Saccharomyces cerevisiae S288C: one gene and its partners. Changing the gene in region 3 together with the main gene of any one other region gives a genetic interaction. Each region holds a gene or a part of one and is shown on either strand. Other genes may lie near its edges.

Evidence for each region.
Region 1: mutations in REI1 (region 3) and RMD1 together harm fitness more than expected from each alone (negative genetic interaction), as found in Saccharomyces cerevisiae (2 studies listed by BioGRID).
Region 2: mutations in REI1 (region 3) and TEF4 together harm fitness more than expected from each alone (negative genetic interaction), as found in Saccharomyces cerevisiae (2 studies listed by BioGRID).
Region 4: mutations in REI1 (region 3) and CRT10 together harm fitness more than expected from each alone (negative genetic interaction), as found in Saccharomyces cerevisiae (2 studies listed by BioGRID).

Annotation. Positions count from the first base shown.
Region 1 is NC_001136.10:444,179-451,581, reverse strand, and holds RMD1 (Rmd1p), read right to left. Parts: upstream 3,599-7,403; coding exon 2,306-3,598; downstream 1-2,305. Other genes in the region: alpha,alpha-trehalase NTH1, read left to right, coding at 1-1,362; NHP10 (Nhp10p), read left to right, coding at 4,004-4,615; MCD1 (kleisin alpha), read right to left, coding at 5,199-6,899. UniProt on the Saccharomyces cerevisiae protein: Required for sporulation where it is believed to have a role in meiotic nuclear division.
Region 2 is NC_001143.9:280,378-284,965, reverse strand, and holds TEF4 (translation elongation factor EF1B gamma), read right to left. Parts: upstream 2,076-4,588; coding exon 1,871-2,075; intron 1,782-1,870; exon of another isoform or gene 1,687-1,781; intron 1,545-1,686; coding exon 511-1,544; downstream 1-510. Other genes in the region: ribosome biosynthesis protein RRP14, read left to right, coding at 2,637-3,941; HOT13 (Hot13p), read right to left, coding at 4,107-4,457. UniProt on the Saccharomyces cerevisiae protein: Subunit of the eukaryotic elongation factor 1 complex (eEF1). Probably plays a role in anchoring the complex to other cellular components.
Region 3 is NC_001134.8:738,034-745,607, reverse strand, and holds REI1 (Rei1p), read right to left. Parts: upstream 5,768-7,574; coding exon 4,586-5,767; downstream 1-4,585. Other genes in the region: EFM2 (S-adenosylmethionine-dependent methyltransferase), read right to left, coding at 1-756; BIT2 (Bit2p), read left to right, coding at 1,210-2,847; SDH8 (Sdh8p), read left to right, coding at 3,032-3,448; mitochondrial 54S ribosomal protein mL54 MRPL37, read right to left, coding at 3,992-4,309; SLM6 (Slm6p), read left to right, coding at 5,220-5,672; TSC10 (3-dehydrosphinganine reductase), read right to left, coding at 6,064-7,026; Rab family GTPase YPT10, read left to right, coding at 7,239-7,574. UniProt on the Saccharomyces cerevisiae protein: Pre-60S-associated factor involved in the cytoplasmic maturation of the 60S subunit. Involved in the dissociation and recycling of other late pre-60S factors like ARX1, TIF6 and ALB1 before newly synthesized large ribosomal subunits enter translation.
Region 4 is NC_001147.6:204,799-213,835, forward strand, and holds CRT10 (Crt10p), read right to left. Parts: upstream 5,468-9,037; coding exon 2,594-5,467; downstream 1-2,593. Other genes in the region: phosphoinositide 5-phosphatase INP54, read right to left, coding at 1-1,087; MET22 (3'(2'),5'-bisphosphate nucleotidase), read right to left, coding at 1,305-2,378; APM4 (Apm4p), read right to left, coding at 5,722-7,197; ribose phosphate diphosphokinase subunit PRS5, read left to right, coding at 7,446-8,936. UniProt on the Saccharomyces cerevisiae protein: Substrate targeting component of a cullin-RING-based E3 ubiquitin-protein ligase complex RTT101(MMS1-CRT10). RTT101(MMS1-CRT10) may regulate nucleotide synthesis through transcriptional regulation of RNR genes encoding ribonucleotide reductases.

The DNA of each region.
Region 1 (7,403 bases), on a different chromosome or scaffold from region 3:
CCTGGTGGTAGATTCAATGAATTATATGGTTGGGACTCCTATATGATGGCACTAGGTCTCCTAGAAGCCAACAAGACTGATGTTGCAAGAGGTATGGTGGAGCATTTTATTTTTGAGATTAATCACTATGGAAAAATATTGAATGCTAACAGAAGCTACTATCTATGTAGATCACAGCCCCCATTCTTGACTGAAATGGCCTTGGTAGTATTCAAAAAACTTGGTGGTAGGAGTAATCCCGATGCTGTGGATTTGTTGAAAAGAGCTTTCCAAGCAAGCATAAAAGAGTACAAAACTGTTTGGACCGCATCTCCAAGGCTTGATCCCGAAACAGGCTTATCCAGGTACCATCCTAACGGTCTCGGTATTCCTCCGGAAACTGAAAGTGATCACTTCGATACCGTTTTACTACCATATGCATCGAAACACGGCGTTACCTTAGACGAATTTAAGCAACTTTATAACGATGGTAAGATAAAGGAGCCTAAATTGGATGAGTTTTTTCTTCATGACCGTGGCGTTAGAGAATCTGGACACGACACTACATATAGGTTTGAGGGCGTATGTGCCTACCTGGCCACTATTGACCTGAATTCTCTTCTTTACAAATACGAGATTGATATTGCAGACTTCATAAAGGAATTCTGCGACGACAAATATGAAGATCCTTTAGACCATTCTATAACAACTTCAGCTATGTGGAAAGAAATGGCCAAAATCAGACAAGAAAAGATTACCAAATATATGTGGGATGACGAGTCGGGGTTTTTCTTTGACTACAACACAAAAATCAAGCACAGAACGTCATACGAATCCGCAACTACATTCTGGGCATTATGGGCTGGACTTGCCACGAAGGAGCAAGCACAGAAAATGGTGGAGAAAGCACTACCCAAGTTAGAGATGCTTGGAGGTTTAGCTGCATGTACGGAGCGTTCTCGAGGCCCAATTTCTATTTCGAGACCAATTAGACAATGGGACTATCCATTTGGTTGGGCACCCCATCAAATTCTTGCTTGGGAAGGCCTCCGTTCTTATGGTTATTTAACTGTAACGAATAGGCTAGCTTATAGATGGCTTTTCATGATGACAAAGGCTTTTGTCGATTATAATGGTATTGTGGTTGAAAAATATGATGTCACAAGAGGAACAGATCCTCATCGTGTTGAAGCAGAATACGGTAATCAAGGTGCTGACTTTAAAGGGGCAGCTACTGAAGGTTTTGGATGGGTCAATGCCAGTTACATTCTTGGTTTGAAGTATATGAACAGTCACGCAAGAAGAGCGCTTGGTGCTTGCATTCCACCAATATCATTCTTTAGCAGTTTAAGGCCTCAAGAAAGAAACCTCTATGGACTATAGTTGAGATAATATATATATATATATATATATACTCCAGGTACAGTCCTCTAGGTACCTAAATCCTCTTTATATGATCTGCCGATAGATAGTTCTAAGTCATTGAGGTTCATCAACAATTGGATTTTCTGTTTACTCGACTTCAGGTAATGAAATGAGATGATACTTGCTTATCTCATAGTTAACTGGCATAAATTTTAGTATAGGTTAACTCTAAGAGGTGATACTTATTTACTGTAAAACTGTGACGATAAAACCGGAAGGAAGAATAAGAAAACTCGAACTGATCTATAATGCCTATTTTCTGTAAAGAGTTTAAGCTATGAAAGCCTCGGCATTTTGGCCGCTCCTAGGTAGTGCTTTTTTTCCAAGGACAAAACAGTTTCTTTTTCTTGAGCAGGTTTTATGTTTCGGTAATCATAAACAATAAATAAATTATTTCATTTATGTTTAAAAATAAAAAATAAAAAAGTATTTTAAATTTTTAAAAAAGTTGATTATAAGCATGTGACCTTTTGCAAGCAATTAAATTTTGCAATTTGTGATTTAGGCAAAAGTTACTATTTCTGGCTCGTGTAATATATGTATGCTAATGTGAACTTTTACAAAGTCGATATGGACTTAGTCAAAAGAAATTTTCTTAAAAATATATAGCACTAGCCAATTTAGCACTTCTTTATGAGATATATTATAGACTTTATTAAGCCAGATTTGTGTATTATATGTATTTACCCGGCGAATCATGGACATACATTCTGAAATAGGTAATATTCTCTATGGTGAGACAGCATAGATAACCTAGGATACAAGTTAAAAGCTAGTACTGTTTTGCAGTAATTTTTTTCTTTTTTATAAGAATGTTACCACCTAAATAAGTTATAAAGTCAATAGTTAAGTTTGATATTTGATTGTAAAATACCGTAATATATTTGCATGATCAAAAGGCTCAATGTTGACTAGCCAGCATGTCAACCACTATATTGATCACCGATATTAGGACTTCCACACCAACTAGTAATATGACAATAAATTCAAGATATTCTTCATGAGAATGGCCCAGCTGTTCCTTCAACATTTGAAGAAGATCTGAAATGACCTCGAGTCTTTGATTTAAAAGTGAAACGCGCTGATTGATCTCTAAGTAACCTCTTGTTGCTTGGTATATGGGTTCTAACTGTGGTTCTGACCACATAATTTCTGGAGAGTCTAAAACTGATCCATGTAGATTGATATTTATCCTCAAAATGAATAGCTCCCCTATACTTTTCATTATATCTTCTTTGCTCATAGAAACTTTACCGCTGTATGCAATTTCTTGTGGTATATCCTGAGTATCTTCAATAGTATTATCCACAAGCTCTTCGAAAAGTGAAATTTTTACGCTTTGAGCAATTGCATGAGAGATAGAGAGTTTTACCATGTAATTTGAACCATCTCTCAAGGTAATAAAATCGTTATATATTCTTGGTTGATAACTTTTTGTGACATAATAATTGAACTCTTCAACTTGAATATCTTCTTCCGCCAATTTTTCTTTTTCGAACTTTTCTATATCGTTTAAGAAAGCTTTTTCTTCTCTTTCAGTAAACCCCCACATAACGACAACACCATATTCAAAGATAAACAGATCTGGGTGCTTGTCACTAACAATAATTTCACCGCCCTCATCATCCAACCTAATCACATCTTCATCCTCAAATCTTTTGTCGCCCCTCCAATCGTTGTAAATGAAGGGAGTGTACAAGCATTCATCAAACAATTTAGGATGAGTATGATGTAGCTTTCGACAGTCCTTTAACCACCTTACCAGCTCTTTCATATTGTAACTGCTAGCAGTACAATATGCAGTTGACCTGGGGAGTAAATGTCTGTGAGCTTTTCCCAACTTTTCAGCATCCCTTCTAGCAGGCTTATCTTTTATCCTGTTTACCTGAGAATATACTTCCTGATTCTTTAAATCAGTAAGTCTTTCGCTATCTCTTTGGAATGGTTCTTCTGGCAAAAGTTTTAGTTTCTGTGCTGTGCGTGATGTTCTTTGAGCGCCCGATCCTGTACGACTTTGTTTACTTGTCGGGTTGATCATGGCACTTCCTGTATACGATGCTCTAGACTTTCTTGTATCTTGTGGGGTAGGTAAGTACTTTTTTTGGACCAGTGATGGCCTACTGTTATTTGATGTTTGGATGTCATTATGAAGTAATGCATGGCGTTCCGGTTGATCATCATTACTATCTACCATGACTAATTGAATATTAAATGTATTTAAAATGCTAATTTAAGCTGAGTAGTAGTTGGACAGATTTGTTTAGCCGCAGTTACGGTGATAGTCGGCAAAGGAATAATTTTACGGTTACTTGATATATTTTCGTGCTAAGAAATCTTGTGCACGAAAGCGGACAAGGTATTGTCAGCAGTTTTTCGCCCTAAATCGCATTATCAAACAGAAAAAACAAGAATACACCAGTAAAGCAAAAGGAGCCGACGGTTCTCCATTTTCCTTAGAAAAAAGATTTTCTTCTGAGAAAGGAAGGATTTCAATTAAAATATAAGGAAATGATTACCACGCACATATATATTAAATCGTTCTAGGGGCTAGAATTGGATGAGAAGCAGCCAGGATATAGGTAATAGTAACACATAAGAAATGTCAGTTGAAGAAAAAAAGCGCAGACTTGAAGAATTGAAAGATCAGAATGTGGTGCTTGGACTTGCAATCCAAAGGTCACGACTTTCGGTGAAAAGACTCAAATTAGAATACGGTGTTTTACTGGAGAGGTTGGAATCCAGGATAGAACTTGATCCTGAGTTAAACTGTGAGGATCCATTGCCGACTCTGGCCTCCTTCAAACAGGAACTATTGACGAAGCCATTTCGAAAATCTAAAACTAAAAGACACAAAGTAAAGGAAAGAGATCCGAATATGCCCAAGAGGCCCACAAATGCATACTTATTGTACTGTGAAATGAATAAGGAAAGGATTAGGCAGAATGGCTCTCTGGACGTGACAAGAGATCTGGCAGAAGGTTGGAAAAATCTTAACGAACAAGATAGGAAACCGTACTATAAGCTTTATAGTGAGGACAGAGAAAGATACCAGATGGAAATGGAAATATATAATAAAAAGATATCTAATATAGATGCGGATGATGATAAAGAAGAGAATGAACAGAAGATAAAAAATAACGAGGAAGGATCATCTACAAAAGTAGCTGATTCTAAAGGAGGTGAAGATGGAAGTTTAGTTTCCTCTAACTAAAAATTAAAAATTCCATTTTTTTCTATTTTCTTTGAAGATATCGTAAGACGTTCTAGGCGCTTTATCCAGAAATTGTTCAACTTTATTGTTTTGTATATTAGATAAAAAGTTGAGCCTTTAAAAACTGCATAATGTTTCCTCTGGCTGCTAATGTACCAAAGCTAATGGAAAAGAAGATTGTTTGGCCTGGAAAACTTTCTAGACGTGGCTTTATTACCAGGGTTGTGTAAGATTATGTAAGATGGTCAGTATGTAGCACTTACAATGGACCTTTCTTCTATTCCCAAGGTTTCCATGAGAAAATTTCGGCTTCACCGGTGTACGTGGGCAGACGATTCCTAATATCACTATTCAAAATAATACAGCAAGTTTTAGAATAAATACTACCCATGCACCAGCGTGTAGAGTTGCCAAGATCATTCTGCCTTGCGGCCAGTAGTGGCTCTACCGCATTAGTTTGAATTTTATCGTATTTTGTGAATATTAATATTAAATATTGACAATTTTATAAATTAAAGTCTTTGATCTATATATGCATCAGCTTATTGGGTCCACCAAGAAATCCCCTCGGCGTAACTAGGTTTTAAGCATTGATAAACCTTTCAAATAGTGCAGGTTTGGCGTCTATTTTAATATTTCCGAATGCTTCTGTTTGACTCAAACCAATACATCCTTCTGTAGCAAGTGATAAAATATCGAAAAATCCTCTACTGGCTTCTCTTTTAGTAATATTTTCTGGTTCTGTATTTGCTTGACTTTTTAGTACATCCGTGAATATTACTTCTTTTTCTTCGCTTAATTCCTTCCTTAAAATCTTCGCCATTTGAACAATAGCTTTAGAAGCCACCTCACCGGGAGTAGGACGAACTTTTTCAGTTTGGATGGTAGTTTGCTCATTTCTAGTCTTTGCGTCGATGATATTCTCTTCAGGAAAAGGAGCCTCATTTAAGCCAGCATCAATTGGTACGAAGTCTGACATGTTATCGGTCAGTTCATTGAAGGAGTTATCGTTTGTTCCCGCATTACTAATTACATCGTCGGTAAGATTAAGCGACACGTTTAACTCAGGTTCTTCAATTGACCCTTCTCGCCCATTATGTATTTTTCTTTTTTTTAGAGATTCGTAGGATAAGAAGTTCTTAAGGATTGGATCTGGTAAATAGGACATACTTTCAGTTATTTCACTCCATAATCTTTTAGTCGTAAAATTGGTGGGCTGTGGAGTCAATAAATTATTCGATCTCTCCTCTTTGTATGTATTGGATGAAGCTATGCTTTCTGAATTTTCTGTTTCTTCATCGATTTGAATACTTTTGGTATTCAGTAATTTTGAGTTCCTTCTTGTGCCAGTTTGTTTTGGCTGTGATTCTGTCATGGCATCGGTTATCGTATCTATATTGCCTGCGGGTGCTTCTTTTTCTATATCCAGATCAAATCCAAAATCCGTAGGCTCCTCAGACATGATTGATTCACCTAGCCTTCTTCCTTGCTCAACAGAGTTATCGTCATCATCGTTGTTCTGGTCATTTTTTTCGGTAATCCCTAGATCCCAACCAATAGTTCCAGCATCATCAAGAGGGAAATCGTCATCTTGTATGTAATTTTCGTGCGTATCAAAGTTGCGTGAGCTTTGTCTTGTTCCTTCTTCCCAAGATTTTGAAGTTATCGGACCTTCCTCGATGTCAAAATCAAGGTTCATACTAGACAAATTATTATGTTCGAAATCTTCATCTGGACTGAATCGTCTACCGACCTCAAGTGAAGTATCCCAGGGAGCAGCACCTTGGACTTTTCTTTCCATCGAATTCTCCTGCGCCATTAAGCCCACTGGTATAGTAGTATCATCTAAGAACTCTAACCCTGGGGTGACCAAAACTTCTCTTTCTGTAACGGCATCTTCTAACATCAATTGATGAACCCTTGTTACAGTGTTCAGTCTGTTTACTGTAGAAGTCATCTTCTGGCTTGTTTTAAATAACATACTTATCTTCGTTAATGTGTCCTTTATATCTGTAAGGAGAAAAGTGGCCTGTTTGGAATATACACGAACAATGCCTTGAAGTAATTCGCCAGATGTTCGTAAAGTTATGTATTCATTGTCCCCTGATTCGTCATCACAGCCAGAAGCTTTTGCAATTTCCTTTGCTGATTCAGCAATATGTGTTTGGATAACCGATCCTCTTGGTATATTCGACATATTTGAAGCAAGCCATATTTGTGCTAATGGACCCTTATTGGTGGCAAGTCTTAAAACAGTAAGACGTTGAGGATTTTCTGTAACCATTGTCGTGTTTCTTGTAAAGTAATTGTGCAATTGAGTTGTCTTTTCTTTGACCAGTCCTTTTTTGTTATGGATTTTCCTTTTATTGGTTTAACAATTATGTTCTCGTGACAATGGGAAAAAGGTCGGCGATTTAAGCAATAATAATAGCAAAAAGAATACTTTTTAGCACCCTATATATATGTACATATATATATATATATCATAATGAAGACAAATTCTGCTACTTTTGATACTGTATACCATACGTATGCAAGCACTGTGAGAGTAGAAAGACGCGATTTTCTCGACGCGTCCCTCCTCGAGTTATTTGTTTAGCATAAATTTTCAAACGCGAAAAATTTGAATTTCTTTTTCATTATATAATAAACGCGTTTGAAGAACATTTTTGCAGTGGTAATTGTTTTTATTTAAGAGGCCGGGAATGAAATCATCATCTCACATCCAGTCTACAGGGATCTTTTTCTTTACAAACTCTTATTCGCATAAACATTCATATTTTTGATT
Region 2 (4,588 bases), on a different chromosome or scaffold from region 3:
ACTTCTATATACCTCCTTTGTTTGTGTTTCTAAAGCACTGTGACAAATCCTGCTTGAAAGCACATGATATCACCAGACGTGTTGCACTATCTTCAGTTCTATCCTAAATTGTTTTCCAGTCTTAAGATAAAATTCATTCCAGTTCGGGTAACATACACCGTTTATGACTGACGCTTCTCTTTACGGAAAATTGTTTTTTTCGCTATTGTTGCAAAAGTACAATGGAAAATGCCCCACTGAAACATGAAATAAGAAGAGAAGAATCAAGTTTATGCAAAATATTGTTAGAGTAACCGCAGCAGATTGTGATACTCAATTAGAGAGATTATTACAATATATATATATATAATGATTACATGGACGTTAATCGTTACATAGAATTAAACCACGCGTAAGTATGGGGTAATCATGAAGTAGACTTCAGGGTTTTTTTCTTTTTTCTTTTGAAAATTCGTTTTGTTTGACTCTTATGTATATTGGGAAGAAAATATGGAAGAAGAGTTATTGAGATTATTTCAAAACCTTACCGTCAACAATTTCCTTATCTTCGCCATTGACAACAACAGGCTTATCCCAAGCCCACATGTTGTTGACAAATTCTTTGTCTTCTTCCTTGGTTGGGTCCAACTTGGTGTATTCGTAAGATTCCCAGTCTGGAGCGACATCAAAGGCTGGAGCGAAATCTTGGCCTCTGACCATAACGGCACCAACAATACCATTATTGTTGTTTTCACCATAGACAACTAAACAACCGAACATGTACTTAGTAGAAGCGGACAATCTGTTGAAAAAACCACCGACCAAGTTGTTGGACATGAAAGTCAAGGTAAGTTCGTCGTTGTATTTGTAACCAACCTTCCAGATGGAGTATTCTTCAGGGTTGTAGTGTTCCCAGAACCATGGCAAAGCAACTGGTCTGGTGTCGTCGTTGGAGTACTTTCTCTTCCAGTCATCCAAGACAAATGTGGACTTTCCTAAAGCTTCCAATGGGTGCTTTGGCTTTTTAGCTGGAGCAGCATCATCTGCTGGCTTAGCTTCGTCCTTCTTCTTTTCAGCCTTTGACTTTTCGGCCTTTGGCTTTTCAGCCTTTTGCTTCTTTGGTGGAGTGTAGGTTAGAGCCTTTTCAGCCAATTTGACTTCAGCAAATGGAGTCTTCACGATTGGAGAAGCAGCAACAGTGTTGAACCATCTCATCAAATGAGGATGCTTAGCTCTCCATTCAGGGCCCAAAATAGTGGCCAAACCAAAAGCCCAAGAACCAGCGGCATGAAGGTCACCTAGAGAAATGTTTTCGGTAGCAACAAAGGTGTAGTCTCTCAATCTAGCATCGAAGACAGCAGCTAGGTTGTCGATTTTAACAAAACAAGCATCAACGTCTTTCTTGTTGTATGGAATCAAACCTTTGAAAGAAAGGAATGGACGAGCAATGTTGCTCATGACATCGGAATTAGCTAGAGATGCCCATCTAAGGATTTGAGACTTTTCGATAACGTCGGAACCTAATAAGCGAGCTCTTTCTTTTTCATCGGCAACTTGATTAGCCACTAAATATACATCATCTCGATGGTTATACAACCATTAATTGAAGAAATGTTAGTAAAACAATCCTTTATATTTTTTCCTGGATTAGGACACGCTTTGTACTTCCTTTTTGTTATTTTGACTTTCATTTTTCTTTAAGAAACATATCAGAAATACAAATATCAACATATGAGAGGTTACCTATTATTACCCATTCAGACAGGGATAACTGTTTGATAAAATTTTTTTTCATCATTATGTTTCGAAGAAAAATGACGTGCCAAATAAACGAACGGGAAACGCGCAAAACAATGTATGTGGAAGTGTTAAAATAAAATATGGAACATACAATAAAATTGGATAGCCAAAGCTTCAGTTAGCTTTAAGCCCTTTGGACCCAAAAATGCAGGGGCTTGCTTCAATGGGAACAAAGAAGCAAACTCGCTAGATTGTTCTAGATCAACGATCTTGACATCTAGTTTAAAGTAAGAAATCAAAGCTTCAGAAGCGTAGTTTCTTGGAGATCTATTAATGTATAAAGTACCTTGGGACATCTTGAATCTATCGAGGGCCAAAATCAAAGAATTGAGTTGGTATTAAGGATGGACACCAGTTTTGAACAAAATTAACGACGGAATGGATGAATTAAATATGAAAAAGAAAGTATTGCAAACTGTTGATGAAAAAAATTTTTCTTTCAATTTTGTCAGCAGCAGAGCGCATTACCCTGCCGGCCACATGCCGAATTAAATTAAATGAGGGCTGCTATTGCCAAATGTGATGGCTTGCCTACAGAGGTTAATTTCCCTTGTTTTGGGCTTCCTCTCTCAACACGATTGACACAAGCAATAGAGGCAAAGGTGTGTAATGAGTTCGTGTACCAATTAAAGTAAAGTAGAGTGGTTTAATTGGGATTACACGATTAAAAAGTTTCACCCAGACACCAAATTGAAAATTTTTTAAAATGAATTCTTTTTATTCTCATCTCCGGTAAAGAAAAGAGGAAAGTACAATAAAAGAGATGAGATGACCAAGAGATGAATAACAAGTGAGGACTGAGACGTTGTTGCAAGTGATAAAGAAAGTCCGGGAATTGAAAGATATAGGAGACTGAGATGAGTAATTCACTTGAGGAGCGCCTTCGTGCTAATTCAAGCGCCTTCGATGGTTTATTGGCTTTAATTCCTGCAAAATACTATTATGATGAAAAAAGTCAAGAGCAATGGAAGGCCAAGAAGAAAACCAAAGAACAGAGTAAAAATGATAAACTGAAAAAATTAGACCCGGAGCAACGTGATGATGAAACATCTAGTACATTAGAAGTAATGAAGAAGAAGGAGAAAGACGCAAAGCCGGTGGTCCTACCTGGTGAAAAATTCAAGCACATGAAAATGCAAAAGCAAAAGGAAGCAACATCAAAAGTGGAAGGAGACTCCGACCTGAACGTAGAAGTAAACGATCCTATGATAATAGCACCAGACGAAGATGAAGAAGAGGAAGAGGATATTAAGGTGATCTTTGATGATGAGGGAAATGAAATACCATTAGAATCTAAAAAAGATACTACAGAGCCCGATAGATCTGTCGAAAAGAAGTCTATTACAGAGGAAGAGAAACTACAAAGAAAGAAAAACTTGGAAGCACTACGTTCCAAGTTACAAGCGAAAATTTCAGATATGAAGAGTAAAAGGAAAGCACCCGGTTCTAGAGAGGCTATTCTTGCTCAAAGGAAACGCAAGGAAGAGTTGAAAAAAAGAAAGCGTCTAGAAAGTGAACAGGAACAGGATCAGGATGAAATTGCGTCTGATTCCGATATGGAAGACATCGATAGTGATTTAGAAAACAATTCGAAAAAAAGATTCAAAAAAGGCAAGAAGGACTCAGAAATTAACGCAGATGGTGTAATGTTTCAAAATATCATATTCGATGATGGTGCAAGGGCCACTTCAGATTTACAAAGGTTAAGAAAAGCTGGTAGAACGAAGGGTCCGGCTAAGAATGATGTAAAATCACACTTAAAGTTATTAGAAGCCAAGAAGAATAAGATGGAGGCGAAAGACGAACTAGAACAAATCAAGCAGAAGGAAAAGGAAAAATGGCAAAAGGCTATGTTACAAGCAGAAGGAATTAAGATTAGGGATGACGAAAAACTACTTCGCAAAGCTATAAAGAGAAAGGAAGCACAAAAGAGAAAGTCTGCGATTGAATGGAGCGAACGTAAGAGGGTTGTGGAAGACACGATATCTGAAAGACAAAAGAGAAGAGAAGAGAATCTGAGGATTAGGAAAGACAACAAGGGTAAAAAGAGAAATAAGCAAGAAAAGATGAAAAGAAAGTATGTCGGTAGTGCCGTACCAAAGAAAAGAGCCGGATTTGAGGGTAGATTAAAAACAGGTAAAAAGAAGGGAGGACCTAAATAATAATCACGATAATAATAACAACAATAATAGATATATATATATGTATGAACATATATATACAGATACATATATATATATATATATCTATATATATACCATCGCATTTTTTCCTTAACGAGAAGAGCACAGCAGAGCTTAAGATGGCATGCATTTATAGAACAACACTCAACACATAGCGGGGGGAGGGTTCTGGAAATACAAATGGTAGTGCAATTTACAGCCTGGATTAAAGGGGGATCTGCAATTGGGACAAATAAGGTTTGAATTGTAGTCGTAATACTCTGCAAACGTCATTTCATGACGGCAAACTCCGCAAATAATCAAGTGTTTATTTGCATCGTCAAGGAGATCATATTTTTCTAGCGGGTGAGAACTTAACTCTTGGTGGCATTCAAAGCACGCATAGTACTTATCACAACATTTAAACCTGATGGCAATTACATCCTTTGGAAGATGCCAGTGGACACATCGAGATTGGTCATCCACTGTCTTACCATAAATGGCAGTTTCGATCATCTATATTTGCAAATTGTAAGTGGTACGTATTTTTTTTTTTATATCATATATGTATATTTAAAGAAACTCGTAAACCGAAACGTTTATTCATCATTATCATCATCATCATCATTATCATCACCATCACACCG
Region 3 (7,574 bases):
GATGTCGCTGTTCGCTAACATGTTCACATTAGTGGTATGTAGGTAATCCAGGTGATCTACGACTAATTGTGAAAGTATTAAAGATGATCCCCATGTTTTCCAACCAAGATTATCGGCCGTTAAAGAGGGTTCATGAAGCGGTATGGAAGTGCTTAGATTTCTTAATTCAAAATATCTTACTATGGATGGTTGGGCCGTTCTCCCACAGTTTTCGGATATCCTTGAGCTCAATTCCTTAAGAAGTTCTTGTATGATTTCCTCATTCAATCCGCAACTATTATTGTATTTTTTCAATACACTAGTATAGTAGCCCAACAGTAGTTCTTTGGATACTGTAAATCTCAGCATTGGGATTTTATTGCATATCTTTTCCAACGAGTTTAACCTCTTGTTAGGCCATTCTTCTGTATACCAAGTCAAAAGTCTTTTCAGCAGATCGGGTTCCAGCCCATGACTCTTGCAAACCTCCAGTACAGATTTGTTCTTCCCTGTCTCCTGATTGAAGTTTACTTGTCTATCGGGCTTCAGAAGTATTAGTATACAAAGGATAACTTCTGGCGGAGCATACTTCACGGAGGGCAGATCCAGATTATCGATAATGGTGTCATCGTCGTCACTCTCTTCTTCATCTACAGCCGTTAATATTTCGTCACGTTGCGGTGAGCAAGGATCTTTTGGCTCTCTCTCTGCTAGATTGAACTGTAAAGCCTCAACCTGGATGTCATCAGGGGTGTACAAATCGAGAGGATCAAACATAGTGAAATATCCGCTATGGAACTCCTAACTTGCATGAGTTAGATACTTGAAAAGTAATATACAGATTGCACTACTATTATTTTGTAGCTCATCGCGAAATTGAAGAAAAAATTTACGATTGGAAAAAAAAAAACTACTATCAGAAATAGGTGAACCAATTTTAATGCCTGGATAGAGCTGCATACGCTACTAGCTTAAACCAATATTGGTGTCGCCTGTTTTCCTTTACCCAATCCAATATACCACTATACTGCGAATGAAGGTGTTGAAATAATTTGACAAGAGCACTTTATCCATTTTGCATGCGACCTTTACTAGCAATTTTTCAGCGATCTTTGCGGGCTTTAAAATAAGGTCAAAATTAAAGGGAGAAAGATAGAAGACAGTAAATAAAAAATACAAACCACAATAAGCATAAGTGGCTAGGCGAGTCTTAAACTACAGAGTCAAGCAATGGCAACAGACCTAAATCGTAAAAGAAGTGCTACCTCAGGCTCACTGAGCGTCACGAACCCGAACATAAAAGCAACTAATCGCAAACCAGCTAGAGTTTATAGTGTTTCTTCTGATATAGTACCGCAAGCGCTGACACATCCCGACGAAGATGTGCATCTAAAAACATCCAAATCTCCTCATGATGCCGCTCCTAGATGGTCACAGGTGGGGTTTCAATCTATATTCCATGATGGTTCCAATGCAAGGCGCTCGACGGATTCGATTGAAGAGGAGTACAGCCAAGGCACGGAGAATAACGATGGTCACTCCGAAATAGGTTCATCAAGTAGTAACCGAATGGAGGGGAACACCACGTCTAATGATAGTTTATTTTCTTCCAACTCAAGGGGCAATAAAAGGCGACTGTCCATCTTCACCAATTCAAAAGATAATATGAGAAATCGAAGCAGGAGCGGGTCAAAAAACTACGGCACTGTTATTACCGGCACAAGTAGTAACAACATAAGTAGGAGTGGCTCTAAATTGTTTCATACGAAATCTAATATGAGTGTGAACAGTTTACAATCTTCACTGTCTACAGGACATTCTCATTCAAACAAAGGCAGTAATGTCTTTAGCAAAATGGCAAAAAAGCTTTTACCCTACAAGCCGCATAATTCCATTGGTAAAGACGACGTTGAACCCGTAGTTCCCAGCCCATTCAGTAAATTTCTGCATTCTTCATATGGTAAACATAGGTCACCCGTACAGTTTATCCATACTTCTACTGGAGGCCTTATTGACTCTGGAAAATCTGTATATTCCTTTAACCCTAGCATTAACAACAACCCTAATGATACAGCTCTATCGCTGATCCAAGATGATGCTTTCGACGCGACTAATGTTTCTTTACTACATGATTTACTGAAAAACTTGCCATCCTTGATAGCAAACTATAAAAGCTTCACCGTACAGGAGTTATTTGTTCTGGAGGGGAATATCTGGGGTATATACTGCAGCATAGTTGTGGAGCTATTTAAAAACAAGAGGGTATGGCAATTGCCAGCAAAAATAGAAGATATTGACCGGCTGCTGGAATTTTATATCACTTTGAAAACACAAACCAAGGCTGCCGTAACGCACTCAAGGTTTTTGGCCGAAATCGAGGAATTCATTACCACTTCACTTTACATTTTAGAGAACCAGATTGTGTTCAATTATGCCAATGAGGATACCGTAAATACGGCTTTGAAAAGAGTCGGCATAATCTGGAAGGTGTTTTACCAACAGGTTTACTACGACATGATGGCAGTGTTACTGCCCTTCGAGAAAAGCTTCCAAAAAAATAGTAACTACTGGCTTGACGGATATCTATCTGAACCTTCAAGGTACGCACCGTCAATTGATGTCCTTTTATTAAAGTGTTTTAGAGACTCCATCATTCTTCCGTATTACGAAAGCTTCCTACATACAAATGACGGTGCCAGTAAGAGTTTTCAAAGATATATTTTCAGCGAGGAAGAACAGAACGGCGTCACAGAGGAAGATAAACTGACGCTGCTGCAGTGTTTTGGGATCCTGAATACCATAAAAGGTAACAGCAGAAACCAAAGAATTATTGGTGAACTTCTTGAGGGCATACGCATGAGTATATAATTAAATATTTTATTTAGTAATATACAATAGTGGCATATAGATAGGTGTATTTCCTTTTTCTTGTTCCAAGAATCCGGAAAAACAGATGCTCTTTTCCGCCCTATAAAGGGGCCAATGGGGAAAGTGCAGATCATATTAACTTGCTAAAGAGTCAGAAAGAACCAAATAATAAAAAGAAGAACTAATGTTGTGCGCCATCAAAAGCACAGGTTATCGGTATCCTCGCACGGGAGCCTTAAATCTACTACGTGGACGACCATTTAATATGGCCACCCGAAAAATAACTACTGAAAGGATCCCCGGCCCTCCCAAGCTGCCAAGAGAAGAGCAGGAAGAGTTCGAAAGACTTCAGAGGATTGCCACATCGCAAGAGGCAATAGATCAGTATAATGCGCAGGCCACCGGCGATCGTACAAAGGAGAGTTTGAATTCACCGCTTTTAACCAAAAACGATATTGGGTCATTCTCGCCTGAATTTTCCAAGACCATACCTGAATTCGAAGGTGATGTTAACCCCAAGACTGGTGAAGTTGGGGGTCCCAAGCAGGACCCGTTGAGACACGGCGATTATTCGTTTAACGGAAGAGTAACGGATTTCTAGATATTTGGTCCGGCCAATTTTTAATAATACTATTCTTATTTGATGAAACTGCGTAACGTTCAATTTACTTTTCAATATGTATGTTGTTATGCTTTATTTTGAATATATAATATATATATGTGTGTGTTATGAAATGCATACGTTTCATGTTTGCCTAAAATCTCTTTCTTGTGAGCGTCCTTCGAATTCTTTTCGAGTATGAATTGAACCTATTTCGCATGTTTTTCGTGGAGACAGTCTTTCTAGTGCTTTTTAACCTTACCTTTGGCATGTTTTTGATCTTTACACTGGGCACATTCATACTTATCTTAGCCATGATTGACAATTCAACTATCTTGTTTCTTGCGAATTTGTGGTACTCTAAAGGATTTAATTTTTAACGTTTTGTTTGTCCCACTTGGTATTCCCCAGGCGAAAAGATATGTGGGAACTATCATGTTTTTGTTGGTACAAAATAAGGCATTATGCTAAAAACATACTATTTAACCACGTACACACATATTTATTTACAAGGATACCAAACTTGATCTTATTAACGGAGGCTTAAAGTTGGCTCAAGAAATTGTTTTGCTTGATTCGCTGCCTGTTCGCCTTCCTTATGTTCTTTCTTCTCTTTAAGAGAGCCTGTCCCTCTGGGTCCTCAGCCGCATGTTCGACAACGTGATCACTATCCAATACGCTCCATAACCAATTTGGATACTCCTTGTCCTCGAGTGCCACTGCGTCTTTACCGCTCTTCCATATGTTTAAGTTAAGCGATGTTCCCGCAGGACACGACGACACCACTGACTTAACCGTGGGTTTATTATATAAGATACGACTGGTCGATATCAACCTGTAACCCAAACTGCGCGCCAACATCTTCAGTCTTCAGCAGCTATTTCCTTTGCTGTAGATATAACTGCTTTAAGAAGCCTATTAGTTTTTTCACTTTCGAGATTTTTGCGCCAAACAAGGGCGCACAAATACCCGGCATCACGCATTTATTATATGAAGAGAATATTAGAACAGGCATTTCAAAGCATGATTCAATGACTATAACATTGCTATAGAGGGGGTAGTGAAGAATTATCTAATGTACAAATGGTGAAGCAGTATATATGCGACAAAATACTAAAAAAAGTAGTGCAAAAAGAATTACTGCAGAAGTTGGTCTCTGTAGTGTGGTTGGTTATTGACGAACTTGGCACTTCTCTTATCGAGCCTTTTCTTGTCGAACCTCTCAGTTTGCCAAACACGCTGTTGAGTCTGCACGCCCTTTTTGTCGAAGGCAGGTAAGAACGATCTCGTCTCTGCAGCGACCAGGGTACCTTGGCCTTCGGTCAGTATCACCTCGGGCTTTAAGTCTTGCTTGTAGTATCTTTGCAAGGACCTGTGGCCAACTTTGATGCCTGTCGGTAGATGCAGCTCTATACCATCGTTATATAAGTACTCTTGTGGCAGATCTTCGTCGTCGCTTCCGGCTTCGTCGCTGCCCACGTCTTCCCAGTCATCTTCGTTGTCTGGTGTTGTGTTGCTATTAAAGTTTGCGTATGAGCTTGTAAAATCGTAGAATTCAGATATCTCCAACCTTTCATCCTCGCTTTCGTAGGGAATTTTACAGTGTCTCTTTGCCAACATGTGCTGTCTTACAGCGGTCAACGTTCTCCCCTGGTAATTACAAACAATACAAATGTTCCCAAGACCAATCTTCTCCGACATGTATTTTACCAAGCCGATCTTGTCGACTAGATATTTCTGTTCTGGGATATAAAACCCGTGGGTCCTAAACATGTGTTCCAGGTTTTCTTCAACATCTTTGAAGTGCTTATTGTGCTCACAAAATAGACATTGTTCCAGTGGAATATCGACTCTGTTGCGTAGCTTTTCTTGCATTACTCTTTCCGCCATTTCTTCCTCGGTCAACTGTTCAGGCTCCTCCTTCTTAGGTTCTTCCTTTTCCTTGTTCTCCTCATTTTCTTGCAAAGAGAGCTTGCTTAGGTCGGGAGTATTTCCCTCTTGGCTCTTTTGCATGTTTTCAAGCATATTAGCCCTGGCAATTTCCAACAGTTTCTTTTTCTTTTCGAGCAATGCTTGCTTTTCCCTTCTTTTCAACTCCTTTTTGGTAACAGGTTTCTCCTTTTCAGCAGACTTACTAGTACTGGCAGCAGCTGCAGACACTTTGGAGTCAAATGTCTCAAATGATATTGGTGGCAATTGTGCAACACGTCTTTTCAAATTGTAGCGATGCCAATCGGACTTCATGTGGGCCCGCTGCTCGTCGCTTGAATCAAAGGTCAGGACACATGAATTACACGTATAAACACCACTGCTACTCATCGTATTGTTACTGATATGCTCTCTTCTTGACTTCTAATGAGAAGCATCTCATAACCTGTACTAAAAGTGGAAAGAGGAAAATTTTTTTCACCTCATCGCATCGGTACCCATAAGAAAAACTTTCAAAATATAGTAAGAAAAGAGAATAAAAATAGGAAAATATCGCCGTGGTAATAATGTTATAATTAATATTTCGTATATACTTATACATGTACAAATAGCTACACCACTAGGGTTTGTCTTGAAAGAAATAAAGAGAGTCACGGGGAATATCGGGAATGAGAGTGGATGTGCTCTCAGTTGGCCTTCTTGCCGTCATTTTCACGAAACCATTTCCTGATATACCAGGAACAGCCAACCATGTAGAATGGCACGACCAGAATGTTTGATAGGACACCAAAAATCCATTGCAACGGAACAAAGCGGCTTTTCTTTGCGGTGAGCCCAAGGTCCATCCCCATTATCATCCATCCGACAAAATCTGTAAAAACGTCATCATCACCTCTGGCCAGCGACTTGGCAATGATATCACATGCTTGTTTGCATGGGATAGCGTCTGAGGGGCCTTCGATCAACTTTGTAATTTCGGGTTTCGTTAGCTGCTCTACAGTGAAACCTTCGCTTTCAAAATTACCAGGATAAACACAACTGATACGGAAGTTCGTCAGTTCTTGTCTTAAGATTGCTACCAGTGATTTGATTGCAGCTTTTGCAGGCGCATACTGGGAATAGCCCACAAATGGGTAAAGCGCGGTGGCACTAGAAAAGATGATGAGGTGGTGTTCCTTGGTTTGCTCTGCAAGGGCAATCTGATGTGCCACGTTCAAAGTTGTTTTATAGTTGATGTCCATACCCAAGTTCAACTCATGTCCGCTTAGCCCACGAAATAACTTAGGAACAGCCCCCCCTGCACAGCATAACGTTTGTGTAGGGAGTAAATCCAAGTCTCTCAGGGCATTGAACAAACATTCCACGGATTCGTAGCAGGACAAGTCGCATGGGTAGTAAAATAACCGTTGCTCAAGGTCCAAGGGCGCAGCCAACTTATGTTGCACTTGGCCCTCGTCAGTGGTTTCCCTTCTCAGGTGAGCTTCAATCCTAATTTCGTTGCATGTGTCCAGCAGTCTAGCCTCTGACCTACTGACGATAATAATCTTTGTGTTTTCAGCCTCATTATAATATTTTTTGGCGAATTCCTTTCCAAGACCTTGTGAACCACCAGTGATCAACACAACTTGGTCTTCTAACGTAAACTTCATTACCTACAAAAGATTATACCGATAACTTCTTTTCTTGAGGCAATCTTATTTAATCGCTTCCAGTAAATGCAGAGAAACTCCTCTGCATTTTTCATTTTTTTGTTTTTTTTTTGTCGTTTATTGTTTTTTAGCCTTACGTTTCACGTTAAGGAACAATGATAGTAAAATTACTCCAGGAAATACAAGTAGCACAAAATACGGAGGAATACGATATGGAAGCAACCATCAAAGTGGTACTGCTAGGAGATTCATCAGTGGGGAAAACCAGTATAGTGACTAGGCTCAAATCAGGTAAGTTTCTAGCAAAACATGCGGCTACGATAGGTGCGGCGTTCATCACCAAGACAATCGAGGTTCCTTCTAACGACTCCTCTACGGAGAAACGTATCCATATGGAGATATGGGACACGGCGGGTCAGGAACGGTATAAATCACTGGTGCCAATGTATTATCGAGATGCGAATATTGCTTTGATTGTATTCGAATTGGGAGACGTATCCAGTCTGCAATGTGCAAAGACATGGTTTCAAGATTTACAGGACCGTGCT
Region 4 (9,037 bases), on a different chromosome or scaffold from region 3:
CTAGCCAACCGCAGTACCCGATGACTGCGTCACCAATTTGTCCAATCAGGCCAGAGCTCCATGATAAAGGATACTTTTCGATATGTAAGGATAACGGCACTGGCGTCCCTGTAGACCTTGGTAATCTTACGGTAAGATTAACGGGTTGATGATCGCTAAATAATAGAGCATTGGACCTAGGGACGGAATGGTAAGTACCTTCTTGTGCGAAAGTTGGCACTGCATAGCTTTTGTAGAGAATCCTATCGCACCACGACGGGATTCTTTTTGTATTATATGTTTCCTTTTCAAACAACTTGAATTTGTATGTCGGTGGAAATGTTATCTTCAGCTCCTGAAAACCTTTGCATAACGGTTCATCCTCTCCTTTACGTAGCAGATTTAGTTCTTCATGATTTTCTAATAGACGCCTTAACGTTGTGGTGGACGAATAATTGGTAGTTGGATCATAAGTACTAGTAACCCTAAAATTCAAATCGCCTAGAAAGAAAAAGTGGTCGCTTTTTGCAACCTCAGAATCACACACTTCACTCATTATTCGTTTGTAATCATCTATTCTTTGATTTCTATTGTTGACACCTTCATTTGCATTTAAATGAGCACAAATATAGCTAAATCTTTCCCAGTTCTCCTCGCCATTGCGTGTCATCTGAAAACTTATCAAAGTTCCACCTTTCAAGTGTGTACCAAACCAACCGCATTTCCCATTCCGTTTCAAAATATCATCTTTTACCTTTAGCGCATTATTATTGTATAATACTATTATGGTAATCGCCCCAAGACTATTCACCCCTAAACATGAATACTGCTCATCCCCTTGTGTAGCTGACACTTTTTCATTCAGACAATTAACCGCAGTAGTTGTAATTCTATCGATTAAATCACGATTAACAGCAGGGAAGGAGCCTTGCCATATGGGGACTACTTCTTGGAACCCCAACACATATAGATCTTGCAATTCCAATTGGGAGATGCCGTCATCGTAGGGGAAAAGCAATTGCTTAACGATTGCTTTCGAATTTTCAACGGGAAATTCCTTACCACAATTGAATGTAGTTACAGATACCTTCCAATTCGTTTTGTTCATTCGGTCAGAATCCTGCTGTATTTTCTTGTCTCACTTTTCTTCTTTGTTAGCCTACTCTTACCTCTTCAGTTTTGTTCTTTTCACTGTATTTTCCTTTTTTCACGCTATAACAACAATAAAAAAAGGTTATCATTTAACTGGTATGTACATACACATACACACATATATATATGTACTCATATATTTATGTCTATCAATAAAGTAAAATATATGTTATTTAGGCGTTTCTTGACTGAATGACATCGCATGATGTAGACACCACCAAGTCATGTAACTCGCGTGGGCCACTTGACGCTATAACTCCCTTCGTAGCTAGCGTTCTACCGTTACCGAAGTCTAGAGGAACATCTTCCATGGCATCTGTATGGATACCTCCAGCTTCATGGACAATAACGTTGCCTGCAGCATGGTCCCAGATCTTTTCTTGGTAAGAAAGTTTGATAGGCAGACGTAAATATACGTCTGCTAAGCCCAATGCTAACAAACAGTACTTGGCTTGAGAATCCAAGTGCAAAGATTTGGATATATTTAGTTTGTTTTTGATAGCAGTTTGTTCATCATGAGAGGAGTGTCCCTTTTCAACTCCCTCTAAAGTAATCATGTCTTTAGTGTCTTTTAAGTGTCTAACGTGGATTTTGGTCCATGACTCTGCATCTGAAGATGGAGAATAGAAGGCACCTAAACCTCTAACAGCACGAAAGATATAACCAAATGACTCATGGCCTTTCAAATCTTGGGCCCCATAAGAACTTAAAACTAAGTTGGGGCATCCAATACAACCAAGCTGAACAACACCGTCCACAATTAAGGCCAGACATACTGCAAACTGTTCACCTCTTAAAAACCCCTTGGTTCCGTCAATAGGATCCAAACACCAAAATCTTCCTTTTCTACCACCTTCGTAATTGCCGAAATCGATGATTTGCCTGACGTCCTCCAAAGATTTTAGCGGAAACTGATCGTTTGTAAACAGAAAATCATCCTTTTTATAATTCTTGTTATAAACTTCGTCATTGGCTTTTATTTCGTTTAAAATTCCTGAGACGAATGCGTCGCTCAATCCTGATGAGGATTCTTCACCAACTACCTTATCATCAGGAAAATTGCTCTTGATAGCATTTATGATGATCGTTTGTGCAGCATAATCACCTGTGGTTACTGGAGAATTATCATTCTTGGTAATAGTAGTGGAGTCCTTGTGAGAAATCACTTCAGATTGAATTCTCTTAGTCAATAAAGACGCCTTTCGTACAGCTTGAGTTGCAACCAATAATTCTCTTTCCAATGCCATAGTAAAGTGCTGATGTCTTCTGAGTTGTCTTTAAACTTCTTACTTACTAACTAATAAATTAAAGAGAAGTGCAAACGTTCTTTATATGTGGCATGGTTTCTTCTTTGCAAACTGAAAGTAAAATCGCAACACGTGATATTGCTCGTCTGAGTCATTCGCGCATTTCAATGAAGGAAGGATTATTATATAGATGGCTATGTAAATGTCAAAATATGCTATTGTTGAGTTGTTCCATGCTCAGTTGTGATCTTGAATGCCCTCAAGGAGCCTCTTGATGCTACGTATAAGGTAGCATATCCCTTACGTTTTAACTCTTCACTGTCAGATGCATAAGTGTAATCTAGTCCGCAAATATCACCCATGGGGAAATAGACGTCGCACACGCCGCAGTATGTGTCCGAGCTCTCTCCATCTGCACCATACATTGGTGCGTCAAACAAGTTCCTGTTACATCTGCACTCTGGACTAGGGTTAACAGGGTCTTGGACTTCCCATCCAAGAATATACTCTTGTCTAAACGAATAGATGCCTCTGTACTCTGTTAGTCTTAGTAATGAAATGAGACCCAATTGTGAAGCCACGGCTATGCAATTTAGTTCTTTGATGTGACACACAAAATTTATTCTGTTTAGTGCTTGGAGCAGCGACTTGGAAGCACACGTCACAACACCATCTAAGGGAAAAATCTCATGATGAGTTGCTGATATAATTATGAGTGGATTTGCTTTCATCAACACCAGCCTATGGGCTGTGGTTAGGAAGAAGAACTCGTCGTGCATTTCGGATAGTTGATACCCAAGAGGCGAATCTTCTGAGCCCGGTACTGCTGACTCTAATAACCGCTTGACGTTTCTTACATAGTTGTGGAACCCCCAAGATTTCTGCGATTCTGATTTCAAGTGAGCACGCTGTTCAGTATCCCTATATCTTCGCTGGAAACTTGTTAAGCTGCTACCAGATTCTTCATTTTCAGGGTCGCTATTGACATCGTCCTCTTCTGTAGAGTTCAGTTGAAGGCTACAAATTTCTGGGTCCTTCAAGACCGTGTTCAAATCCTTGCCAAAAAGTGTTCTCCAATCGGCAGCGGCATCGGTGTTGTACCATAAAAAGTTTCCCGATTCAATATTTGGTATATGATTTACTGAACTTAGCGATTTGAACTCTTTTGAAGTTCGTAGTTGTCTTTGTTTATCCATTTTCAAATTACGAATACTTCTATTAAATTCGCGAGATATATCTTCAATATCATTTTCGAGATCAGTAAGTTTATAAGTAGACGGCTCACAGATCTTTCTCCCAGAAGTGTTTTGATATTGCGATGTTTTATTTCTTCCACTAGGAGTTATCAACTGTGGAAAAGTATTAATAATATCCTTGTATTTCGAAAATCCACGCTCAGTAGCACGATAATGTTTATAACCAGAATCCTCCCAAAATGTCCATTGGTGTAAATGCTGTTCACATGAGGTGTTTTTTGTCACTGCATCATTCATATCGTCTAAGTCACCGGCATGTAAAATAAGTGCAAAATCCTCTCTGCTGTACTCGTATTTTATCGAGCCCGTTGTAGTGTAATTTCTATCAAATGAGGTAAATCTTAATGGTATAACTTCATCGGGGATCCCTGCTGAAGAAGTCAGTCGTAGGTCTGTGACAGGAACCTGAAATTGATTGAGTAATGTACCAATACCGAAATTCCCAGAGAGGTAGGCGTTATCACAGTAATACCCAAGTAAAAAATCATCTCGGCAAATAGAATATAACATGCTTTCTTTGAAACCGTCTTGGTAGTTAAGATTCAACAATTCGAAATTGTCAACTTTCGCAAAATCCTTCTTAGTCAGTGGAGTTATTGTCCATAAGTCGTCGCCAAAAAATTGAGTATCAAGGAAACTCGTTAAAATGGTACAATCATGCTCCTTTAATTTAACGGTAACAACATTCCCAAATATAGAACAATAACTTAATGTAATATATCCAACAGAATCTTTTGAATTAGGAACAAAGTTAACACAAGGAACATTGTGAGATGAGGGAAGATCTAGAGGCCGAATGTACCGTCTTTCCTTCTTTACATCTTTATCGAATGCAAAGACTGTAACTCCAGGCTTGTTATGGCCAACAGCGATATATATGATGCCATTTATATCTATTACATCAACACTCCAACAAGATTCCTCTACTCTTAACACCATATATGGATCAACATTTATGTATCTTTCCCGGCTGTTATCTTTGCCTCCCAAGATATCCGAAGTAAATTTATTAAATATCTTAATAACTTTGTTGATTTCCCAGATATAAACGATTCCGTTGTCACCGCAAGCTAGTAGAAAATCTTGATGCATGAAGTTACAAATCTTCATAAAGTTGATAGAACATAGTTCAGGTATGCTGTTGAACTGTGTATCCTTAAATTTCACATATGATGAATTGCGGAAGTTTCTTACATCTCCGTCATCTGGTATTATCACGGGCAATAAGGCGTGACATATTTCTAATGACGAAACGTTCAATAGTATATCGAAATTATGAACTTCGACGCATTGACCGGCAGCCAGGAAGGAATAACTCCCATAAGTGACGAACAAATTGTTCTTGAACTGCAAACCACCATAAGCAAACCTATTTGTGTATTGAAAAGGTGCGAACTCTAGTGGTATCTCTTGAACAAGTAGTTTTTCGTCCTGTGGCAATAGTAATTCAGCTGGATTCAAAAGCCTTGATGGTCCCCAGACGGGTTCTAAGTTGGAAAATGCAGATTTAGTATCCTCCAAGAAGGCTTTCTTGAATGAGTAAGCAGGATTTGGGATTTTCCATGAAGAGTCATGTTCTTCTAGGTTGTGTAATCGTTCTTTAATAAACTCCACGGTTTTTGGATGAAACGAATTGCAACTGGAGTTTGGCCACTTGAGTTGATAATATTTCTTTAACGTTATTATCTCATTCGTTATATTCCAGCCACCAGACGCCAGAAATACTTCTGAGTCAAAGCACTCTCTTGTCGATACTGCCCTTTGTATGATGGCCCGAGACTTAAGCCACCTTGTAAAGAGATCATCATTTTCATTGGGAATCTGAGGGGGCATTATATTCAAAACCAAATTTTCAAGCCTAGAAGTACCAGTGCCTCTTGATTGCGCTGTTGATCTTCATTACTATGGTGTTTTTGGTGTCTTGTATGGTTTTTCCATGTTTTTTCCCTGTTTTCTTTTCAATGAAAAACTAAATTGCATGTCTCTCATAATAGAAAATATTCAATATTAACAAAATGTGCATTCTAAAGGAAATTACTATAAAAAATACAGGCATGATAAAAATATATGTACACAAAAATTACGGGCTAGTACCTCACCTCGTAAGAACCGGCTTTCGATATATATTTAATCCATTTTACAGCACGATGCTTACTGTCTTTTCCAGAAATGGTAAAGTATCGTACGACTAAGCCAGAATTACTGAACATCATGACCTCGAATTCCAGGGATATTGGAGGTCTTGTCCATTGTTGAAGATTCAATTGAGTAGTATCACTTGTGGACACAGTAACTGCACTTAAAGTGTTTTCCGTCAACCCATTGTACTTGTTGAACCTCCAAATCATTGCATTTTCTTCTGGCACAAACTTACAGTGGCCATTAGAGACACTTATCTTACAATCCACAGTGCTTGGTGGAACGGGTATATGTAGTACCACATCTTTGGCGGAAAGTTTTCCAGGAAATAAAGACTTCAATGTTATCCTGTAATCAATCTCGTTATCTCTTGTAGAATGTGTAACAATAGGTGTAACCTTGAACGGCAGGTTTATGTTATCTCGTACATGATATTTCATCAACTCCATCGAACCGTCTGGTGGGACGAATTCAATGATATGATTTCTGTTAAATTTGTCAAGTGAGACACATTCGTGAAACTTGCAATCTTCCAACAAAACACTACCGGCAGCAGCTTTGGGAATGAAGTTCTTGTTTCCAAAATCGCTGCCAGAGTGACGCTGCTGCTGTGCTAACCATTTCTTCTCGTCTTCGGACTGCATTCCCAAAGAATCATTCAATCCAAATCTACAAATAGGGGTCCCACTCAAGTGTGTGGTGATATCTATGGTGCCATCAACGTATGATTTCAAGATAGAACCATCCCTAGATACCAGAATGTTTATCCTCTCATTGACATACAAGAAAACTTCATCCTTCTTGTGTATTATCCCCTTGGGCCTCCAAGTGATCTTATTGTTATCATAGAAATCAGAAGTGGAGTCTCCTTGACCCAGGAAACTACTGCTTCTTTTTGTCAAAAATTTGGGAAAATGTAGTTCTCCTGCTGAAGAAGTAGGAGATGAAGAGGAAGATAATACATCATTTCCATCGGGACTATCTAACAATCCGCCCATATTTCTAACGGGTTTCACAGACATCTGCGCTATAACAGAGTTCAATTCAGTGTCAATTGGTATCCCATTTCCACCCAACATTATATCCAGCATCTCATGCACAATCATGAATTCCTCTTTCAAGGCCTCCTCTCTATCCAATCGATAAGCATTCATCACTGCATCAAGCTTATATAAGAACTCCCAGATCGCCGCACTATTAGCGTTGCTTCTCGTAATGGTTACCAACCACAAATTGTCACCATGCCTCGACCTGATGTGATGGAAAGTAGTTGAGCCCAGTGTCAAAACAGGCGATCTAACATCTAGATTATTGATCACTTGTACTCGGAAGATATCGGATATGGACCGCTTCAACGAGTTCTTGAAGAACTTGTTCAAGACAAGTTCACCTCTCGATGAGTATACCAGCACACCACTAATCATTGCTCACCATAACTCTATGTGATTCTTTTCTCCAACCGTTTATGAAAGGTTTCCACACTTTATCATCAAGTTCTCCTATACTAATCAATTAAGGAAAATATGGCTGTTACCCTTCGACCGCAGTTGAAAAAAATTTTCTATCAAATAATAAATGGCTACGATTAGCGAGAAGGGCTGGATGAGATGAGAGTAAGTTGGTCGAAAGTGACTTTGTTGGAGGTTGCTACGAGGCTAGGAACGCAGTCTGGATGTCAATGAGTAATATTGTTGTTTTTGGAGGGGACTCGCACCCCGAGTTAGTTACTAAGATCTGTGAAAATTTGGACATTCACCCATCGAAAGTAGAATTAGGGAAGTTTTCTAATGGGGAAACGAACATTGCTCTTCGCGAATCTGTTCGTGAAAAGGATGTATATATCATCCAGAGTGGTTGTGGCCAGGTGAACGACACGTTCATGCAGTTGCTGATTTTAATCAGTGCCTGCAAGTCCGCTTCTGCCTCGAGGGTTACAGCCGTAATGCCATATCTCTGCTACTCGAGACAGCCAGATATTCCATATACTGCCAAGGGTGCTCCCATAATTTCCAAGCCTAAAGAAAACTATACTTTTGAATCGCATCCAGGCACACCCGTGTCATCTTCTTTAATGACGCAAAGACCAGGTGCTGAGAGCTCGTTGAAGAGTTTGGATAGTGCAATACGATCAACTATCAACTTAGAAAATCCTCAACCTATCAGAACACCAAACAGCAGTGCTACGGCGAATAACAATTTCGACATCAAGAAGACGCTTTCTTTTTCAAGAATTCCTATGATTCCCGGTGGTAAGTTACAAAATACAAGCAATAGCACGGACGCTGGTGAATTGTTCAACGCTCAAAATGCAGGCTATAAGCTATGGGTAGTACAAGCCGGTACTTTGATTGCTCATTTGTTGAGTGCTGCAGGTGCTGACCATGTGATCACAATGGATTTGCACGATCCACAGTTCCCTGGGTTTTTTGACATTCCAGTGGATAATCTCTACTGTAAACCCATTGCACAAAACTACATCCAGCATCGCATTCCAGATTATCAGGATGCTGTGATCGTTTCTCCAGATGCTGGTGGTGCAAAGAGAGCTACGGCTATTGCAGACGCCTTGGAATTGTCCTTCGCCCTAATTCATAAAGAAAGAAGATCTCAGTTATTGAAGGGCCCTCCAGATGCGACGTTAACCTCTGGTGGTTCGTTACCAGTATCTCCAAGGCCATTAGTTACTACTTTGGTTTCCTCCCAAAATACTACTTCTTCAGGTGCCACTGGGGTTGCGGCCCTTGAAATGAAGAAAACAACTTCAACATCTTCCACCTCGTCGCAATCTTCTAATTCGTCCAAGTTCGTTCAAACTACCATGCTTGTTGGCGATGTTAGAAACAAGGTGTGTATTATAGTCGACGACTTGGTGGATACTTCATACACTATTACAAGAGCTGCGAAATTGTTGAAGGATCAAGGATCTACCAAAGTTTATGCCTTAATAACGCACGGTGTTTTTTCCGGTGATGCGCTAGAAAGAATCGGCCAAAGTAGTATAGATAAGTTGATCATTTCTAACACGGTTCCTCAAGATAGAACACTACAGTACCTAGGTAAGGACAGAGTGGATGTTATTGATGTCTCCTGCATAATCGGTGAAGCAATTAGAAGAATCCATAACGGTGAATCCATTTCTATGTTGTTCGAGCATGGATGGTAGTGGCATTGATGTGTTCATTTTTTTATTGATAAAAATAGGGGAAAGTGTCTATATATTTTGCGTATAAAATTCTCTACATTTTTTTTTCTTTGTTTAGTATG